2 linked regions of the Ovis aries genome follow. The protein of the gene in region 1 interacts with the protein of each later gene in a pairwise test. Links are inferred from orthologs where the notes say so. Each region holds a gene or a part of one and is shown in the gene's direction. Other genes may lie near its edges.

Evidence for each region.
Region 2: the proteins of DMRTB1 (region 1) and EXOSC5 interact in a two-hybrid assay, tested with the Homo sapiens proteins (2 studies listed by BioGRID). The link is inferred for Ovis aries from reciprocal best matches to the Homo sapiens genes DMRTB1 and EXOSC5.

The regions. Positions count from the first base shown.
Region 1 is NC_056054.1:27,981,408-27,985,763, forward strand, and holds the start of DMRTB1 (doublesex- and mab-3-related transcription factor B1), read left to right. Parts: upstream 1-1,543; 5' UTR 1,544-1,864; coding exon 1,865-2,450; intron 2,451-4,057; coding exon 4,058-4,263; intron 4,264-4,356.
Region 2 is NC_056067.1:50,089,543-50,093,020, reverse strand, and holds part of EXOSC5 (exosome complex component RRP46), read left to right. Parts: intron 1-1,792; coding exon 1,793-1,906; intron 1,907-2,401; coding exon 2,402-2,523; intron 2,524-3,478. UniProt on the Homo sapiens protein: Non-catalytic component of the RNA exosome complex which has 3'->5' exoribonuclease activity and participates in a multitude of cellular RNA processing and degradation events.

The DNA.
Region 1 (4,356 bases):
TAAGTGAAGTCAGAAAAAGAACTTGTCTGTGCTTTCATTTATGGGACCATATTTTTTAAATAAAAAATTAAGATACAGGCTGTTAGAGCAAAGCAGAGACAAACCTAGATCTCTTTAAACGGATTGAAATAACAGTGACATTCTTAAAGGGTCAAATTATACAGGAAACATATACTTCTGCCCTCTTAAGATGAGTAATATATTTCTTCAAAGCAGGAAAAAAACTTTACAAACATCTTTTCAGCTTTCCAGTATATAATCAGCCTCAGAATGGCAACCATTTCCTATTGTCAGGTAGTTGGTGAGAAATGCAAAGTACACCTGCAACCAGCGGCTCAGGAAGATCAAGGTGAACACCAGGCCTTGGCTCTCACTTCTACCATTCTGTTACCAGGTACGGAAAACTTCAGCGAAAGGACAATTAAAAAATACACATTTTAGCCAGGTATTTGTATGGATGTGAGAGTTGGACTGTGAAGAAGGCTGAGCGCCAAAGAATTGATGCGTTTGAACTGTGGTGTTGGAGAAGACTCTTGAGAGTCCCTTGGACTGCAAGGAGATCCAGCCAGTCCATTCTGAAGGAGATCAGCCCTGGGATTTCTTTGGAAGGAATGATGCTAAAGCTGAAATTCCAGTACTTTGGCCACCTCATGCGAAGAGTTGACTCATTGGAAAAGACTCTGATGCTGGGAGGGATTGGGGGCAGGAGGAGAAGGGGACGACAGAGGATGAGATGGCTGGATGGCATCACTGACTCGATGGACATGAGTCTGAGTGAACTCCGGGAGATGGTGATGGACAGGGAGGCCTGGCATACTGTGATTCATGGGGTCGCAAAGAGTCGGACACGACTGAGCGACTAAACTGAACTGAACTGAACCCCCTTAAAGGTAATGATTAATCCTATGATGACGTTTGTTTGTTTGTTTTTTCCTTTCTTTCTTTTTGGGACCTAAGCGGGGGAGTGGGGGGGGGAGACATCAGGGTGTCACGAATTTCTATCAAACAAGAAAATGAATTAGCTTAGCAGTCTTGGGAAAACTATGAAGTTATGGCAGCTTTGCAGGTGTCCCAAGATTTGGGTTGCTTTACAGGAATAACTGAATTCATGGCACAATTAAGTACTGGTTCAAGCTCATGCTAAAATATCCTAAGTCCCTTTTACTTTAAATCATTCTAAGTATGCTTTTCTTTGGAAGGCATCAACTGCAATATGCCACTTCCAGAGATGCATTCCTATACCAACTAGACTTTAAAAATGGTAATTACTCTAAAGGCACACCCTTGAGCAACCATCACACCGCACTGAGCTCCTGAGAATATTCTGGAAGCATCACTGTGAACAGTTGCTTCTCTGTAGGGGAAAAAAGTGAAATTAAACAGAAGCAGCAGCTTCTGTATGGAGAAACACGGTTTGACACTTGGAATCCTTTTCTACTGCAACAGGTTTACCAACAGCTGCGTTCCTCTGGAGTTTTGAATCTGTGAATCCTTGAGTATCACTCCGCCTTTTTTTTTTTTTTTTTTTTAATCATGAAATACCTTCTGTATACCGTACGGCAGGAAGAGAAAGTTTGGAAATTACATGCATAAGACTCAGCTAACCCAGATGACATACATGCAATAGCATTACTTGAAGAACTTATTCAACCCAATCCTTTGCATCTTGTTAACCAAGGCACAGAACCTCTCCAAATTTTGCACCAAAGAAAAGAGAGAATGCAAGGGTCTTGCTGCAGCTCCTGGGACGCACTGAACACCACCTTGTTACAAGTGTATCCAAAGCTCCCAGCACCAGGGACTTGGGCGGACTGCTTCTCTCTGTTTCACTGTCCCTGAAGCTTTCAGAGGAGACGGTTGTGCTATGAATGCAGACCTTACAAAGCAGGCCAAGAAGATGCTTCGTACCCCCAAGTGCTCGCGGTGCCGGAACCATGGCTTCCTGGTACCAGTCAAGGGCCACGCGGGCAAGTGCCGCTGGAAGCAGTGCACCTGCGAGAAGTGCTACTTGATCACCGAGCGCCAGAAGATCGTGGCTGCACAAAAGATGCTCAAGAAGCAGGCCTCTGGAGAGGAGCAGGAGGTGGCCCTGTGCGCACAGGGACCCCAGCTGGCCCCCGGGGGCGCGGCCGCCACCCCAGGCCCAAGCTTCTGCCCGCTGCTTCCGCTTGCCCCTTTGGGAGACGCGCAGCCGGGCCCTTCGGGCCAAGCGGCCGCCTGCCTCCCTGAGAGGCCCCCGCGGGGCCAGAGCCCCAGCCCGAGTGCCTTCCAGCCAGTTCTGGGCGGCCACAACCGCGGCCACGTGGGCCTGAGCGAACAAGCAGCCAGGGCCAGGCCCAGCTCTCTGGAGCCCCAGCTGACGGCGGAGGCCGCCGGCCGGGGCTACCCCGGCTGCCTGGAGCTGCGCAGGCTGCCGCGGCCTGTGCCGAGCCCGCCGTTCACCGACTTCGGTAAGATTCCCGGTGCCCTGAGCCTTTGTCCCGCTGTTGGTTCCTCTCCGCCTCCCCACTTCCCTCACTCTGGCGTCCCAGGCCAGCCGCGCGTATGGGCCCTTGGGGTGGGGGTGGGAAGATGCTTTCTAGAGGGAATCTTGCTTCGGGATACCTTTTTCTGAGTAGGCATTTGGGTTTGGTGCCTTTTTGCAAGAAGGTAAAAAGAGAGAAAGGAATGGGTGGTTCTGAGGGGGTAATTTTAAAAAACATTTAGCTATAGTCTCTGCTTTCCCATTCCGGGAGAAAAAAAAAATGGCCGCACACACACAAAAAAAATGGCCCCCCAGTCTGCTTAGCTGAGGCTCCTCCTCCCAACAGAGGGGATCGCGGGAGAGTGGCCATATTGCGCTTGCGCAACTCTTCCCACCCTTTTCTGGTGCTGGAGGCTCCTCCCCCAGAACGTCCTCGTGGGTGGGCCAGCGCCTTATGACTGCACCTGCGTCCCTCCGCCCACCCCTCCCCCATCTTCTGTGCCCTAGTCAGCTTGCTCCTCAGCCGTGCTCTGGCCCAATGGCTGTGTATGGGCGTTCTTCCCACCTGTTTCCCAGGCATGGATGGGAATGAGACCTCTTTTCTGCTCCCTACAAGAGAACAGTCTATTGAGACGTGGTTGCTGTTTTTCTCTCCTCCCTCCACATGCATAAATTACATTGTTCCCTAGGTATTGTAACTTTCACTATTATAATTTCAAGTCACATGTAGGTTTGAGACTTTTAAAAAGGGGCTCATTTTGGGTGCAGACACGTGTTTTCTGGTTTTCTCTATGGCAGTGTGGTAGAAAGAGCGCAAGTCTGAGTCAGGACGCTGAGGGGCTGCTCACTTGGTAATCTAAGGCAAGTTCCTTCCTTCTGTGACAGCCTCGCCCCTCTGTAGGCTAAGGGGATTGGCTTGATGCTCTCCGAAGGCCAGTTCTGCCTTCTGGGACGTTCTAGGAAAATATAGGTCCCTAGAGAACTAGATGAGGAAGACAGATCTGAAAAGCAGTTCTAGGAGAAGGATACCTTTCTACGGATATGGAGCCTTTCTTTGTTCCATCAACTGAGCACTGTGTGCCCAGCACTAGTGATGAAAAGGTGAAGAGGGGTGAGTCAGATTCCTTGCCCTCAAGGATCTTGTCCTTGTGAAAGAAAAGGACATCACAGAGAACTCTAATAACCAGTGGTTTAGCTGTGGTCTGAAGGAAGATCAGGAGCTGAGCACTGAGGATTCAAGAAGGCAAGTGGAGTTAGGAAAAAAAGCCTTCCAAGCAGAGGGGACAGCATCTGCAGAGGCCCTGAGGTGGAGGAGAAAGAAGGCGCTACTAGTGATCAGACAGTGAGGCTGGAGTGAAGGCAGGAATGCAGTCTGCGTGGGCTTCATGGCTGGGCCAAGGACTTTTGCTGAGGGCAACAGAACATGGTTGAAGGGTTTAAAAAGCAGGGAGGATCAAAAGCATAATGGATATGGGAGTTGTCTGTGAATGGATATGAGTGTTTATTTATACTGCTACCTTCAGACGATAATATGGTGCCCTTTTTTCTAGCTCCATGTGTTTTTAACACTTCCCTCGTTGCATGTCTTTTCAGGGCTCCCTCTGAGCATCAACTCAGATTCTGTGGTGGGGTCTGAGTGCCTGGAGAGAGAACCTCCCAAGCTGTACCCCAGCTGCTCCAGCATGCACCCCTACCGCCCTTTTCCTCTGGGCTACCAGGATGCGTCCCCAAGTGTGGGGATCCCTCTGCAGCAGAGTTTCCAGCACCTGTCCTATAGCCACTACTATGGAGGAGGCTTGGTGAGTCCCATTCCTGATATTTTCGAAGTTCCTCCCTATTTCAGCTGCCCTGGCTGCTTTAACAGACTTTCTCCCAGGCAGCCAGCCATTGTG
Region 2 (3,478 bases), on another chromosome or scaffold:
GGACCTCTCCAGGCTTAGATCTCTTGCTCAGTGCAGGTGCCTGGAGGTTCTTAGAATTTAAGAAATACTGAGCCCCTTGTGTGTTCTAAAAAAGAAAGAAATACTGAGCCCCTTGTATGTTCTAAAACCCCAAAGCCCAGGACCCTGGAGCAGGGTCCTCTGCAAACCCTCACTAGACTCTCCAGTGAGGTTAAAAATGCCAAGCCCCAGAACCCACCTATGCCAACTAAGGCTAGCCCTCTTTGTCCTTATTGATTAGTTGCTCAGTCGTGTCAGCCAGGCTTCTCTGCCCATAGGATTATCCCAGCAAGAATACTAGAACAGGTTGCCATTTCCTCCTCGAGAGGATCTTCCCAACCCAGGGATGCCAGCCCTCTGTATTTTTAAATGATCTGCTGTAGCGATTCTGGTTGCAGGCCTGTGTTTTGAAACCGTGCTGGAGCTCCATGTCTTCCCACTGCAGGTTGCAGGTCCAGCTGCACATTAGAATGGCCTGTTGGAGCTCTGAGGCTCCCAGTGCCTTAGCCTCAGCCCCCAGCAATGGGATTAAGGCTCTCTAGAGGAGGGGCCTGGGCATCTAGATCTTTCAAAGTTCTGCAGTAAGCCCAGTGTGCATACGGGGTTGAGAACCACTGTGTTCACTAGTGGGTTTTTGTTTTTGTTTCCATCTTATTTCTGTTCTTTGGTCAGGTCAGGTGTTAGCTGTGGTGCATGGACTTAGTTCCTCCACGGCATGTACAGGCTTAGTTGCCTGATCGGGGATCGAACCAGCATCCCCTGTATTGGAAGGTGGATTCTTAACCACTGGACCACCAGGCAAGTCCCCTTTAATGGTTCTTTGTAACTGAAATATAGTAGAAAATCTCCGAGTACGTCAAAGCAGTAACAGTAAAGAGTTGTTTTGGGAGGCGTTCATTCCATTTATATCCACACAGATTTGTGTGAGTTTTGGGTCCTGAAGTGTATTTGAGTCTAAAATGTATTTCTTACAGGGAGTTAGGATCAGGAATGTTTGGAAACTGCTCTTGTAGTCCAGTCTACCCATTTTGCTGATGGGAAAACTGAGGCCCAGAGAAGTAAGCAAAATCAGCTGAGATTACAGAGCCAGGAGGAAATAAGCAGGTGTCAGGAGCCAGCCCTAGATATTCATCCGTTTCTCAGGTGTCCTGACTGCTACAGAGTTTGGGGACGTGAGCTAGAGGGAAGAGAACTCGGCCTCGGGGGAGCTTTGGAAGGAGAAGTTGGGACCAGCAGCAGTAAGAAGGAGGGTTAGCACTCAGGAAGAACTTCCTGTTAAAGTTAGTAATAGTAGCTAAAGTCCTTTGGGCACTCAGCAACTTAGCAGGCAGCATCCTAAGTGTTTCTCTTTTTATCTAATTTAATCCTCATAGCTGTGAAGGATGTCCTATAGGTGTTTGCTTTTTTGTTTTTTTTTTTGTCTGCACTGGGTCTTAGTCCCAGCATGCAAACTCTTAGCTGTAGCTTGTGGGATCTAGTTCCCTGACCAGGGGTTGAACCCAGGCCCTCTGCACTGGGAGCTCAGTCTTAGCCAGTGGACCACCAGGAAAGTCCCAGGGACGTACTGTAGTTATCCTCATTTTACAGATGAGGAAGTAGAAGCAGAGACATGAAGCAAATGCTCAAGGAATCGCTGCCAACAAGGGGTGGGCCAGAGTGAGGGTGACGTGGGGACCCCTGGCCACCCAGCTCAGGGCCCACAATGTTAAGTTCCTCGTGTCAGACCCCAGAGGCAGGGAAGATGCAGGTGAGCTCGCCCATGCTTTCTCCCCAGGGGATACCTCCGTCCTGGCCGGCGTGTATGGGCCAGCCGAGGTGAAGATCAGCAAAGAGATCTTCAACAAGGCCACGCTGGAAGTGATCCTGAGGCCGAAAACTGGACTGCCTGGTAACTGGTCCTCTTGCCCGGTGTCCCCATCACTGCCCTTTCTGGTCTTCACTCCTCTCAGCTCCCCTCAACTGTTTCTTTTTCTCTAGCTCTCTGCCTGTACGTCTCTTATCACTTTTCTCCCTGTCTCTCTCCATCTTCTCTCCCCGCTCCCTCCTTCTTTCCTGGCTCCATCTCTCCTCCTTTCCATTAATCTGTTTTTCCACGCTTTTACTCTCTGCCCCCCTCACTCCCCAGGGCTGGGTGCACTGCGATGGGAATGGACAGCAGCACTGGACATGGGAGAGCTCTGAGGTTCTCCTCCCCCGGGAGGCTCCCTTGGTGGGTGCTGGAGGTGGCGGGCATCAAGTGGGTGGCAGTCAGGCCCTGCCTCCCTCCCACTAGGACTCCTTTGTCATCCCTTTTTTCTGGAGGCTTGGGTGGGGCACATGGAGACAGGTGAGCCAGCTGGACAGGGAGAGCCTGACAGCCCAACCCCATCCCTGATTTCCGCAGGCGTAGCGGAGAAGAGCCGGGAGCGGCTGATCAGAAACACATGTGAAGCGGTGGTACTGGGAGCGCTGCACCCCCGCACCTCCATAACTGTGGTGCTGCAGGTCGTCAGCGATGCTGGCTCTGTATCCTTTCCTCCAGGAAGTCCTCCAGAATCTCACTGATTGCCGATGGCCATGTACACGCTTGACAGATGTCAACTTGTAGGAACAGCAAACACAGCTTGAGTGTTTACTGTGTGTCAGGCAATTTATACAGTGTGGACAACTCACACTTCTAGTAACTGGCAATGCCAGGACATGAGCCCAAGCCATGTGGCTCTAGAGCTCAAGGCCCCTAGCAGCTGGGTCCTGTTCTCATGTTTCAGGTGAGGAAACCAAGGCCACGAGAGGAGAGGTCGCTTACCCAAGGTCACACAGCTGGAAGGCAGCAGAGGCTGAATTCACACACAGGCCCATCTGACTCCAGAGCCTGTGCCATTGACCTCATTTCTGACCCTGAGCTTGGATTTGAGGCTCAACAGGGCAGGAGCCCTGAGCAGGCAGAGCCTTTGGTTCAGCAGCTCAGCCTTGGAATGTGGCCGCGGTTTGGGTGCGAGAGGCAGAGGCCCAGAAATGGGCATTTCTAGACAGCTTTGTGCGTGGGTATGGCCCTGCACTGGGCAGATACTTCACAGATGGGGGAAGAGGCGCACTGTGAACCCATTTCACAGATGGGAGATAACGGAGGGTCAGTGGCAGAGGTGGGGCTGGCTGACTGTAAAGCTGGGCCCTGGGGAGGAGAGGAAACTGAGCTGGGGCTGGCTGGCTGACTCAGGCCTGTGCTCACCCTGCACAGGGCCAGGGCCGCACCTCTCCCCTGGACTGCGGGCTCCCTGAGGACACTGACTCCTCCCTCCGTCATCCTGCCAGCCTGCCACCCGGTAGCACTGCTTGCTCGATTCCCCAGCCCCAGGCCTGGCTCTGCCACTGCCTCCTTGTTTTATCTTGAAAGGCTTCTGACCTTTGTTTCCCCGAAGGTGCATACCTGCCGAATATCATTGTGATCCCTGACTGAGGCTGAGAGAGAGTAAGTAGCTTG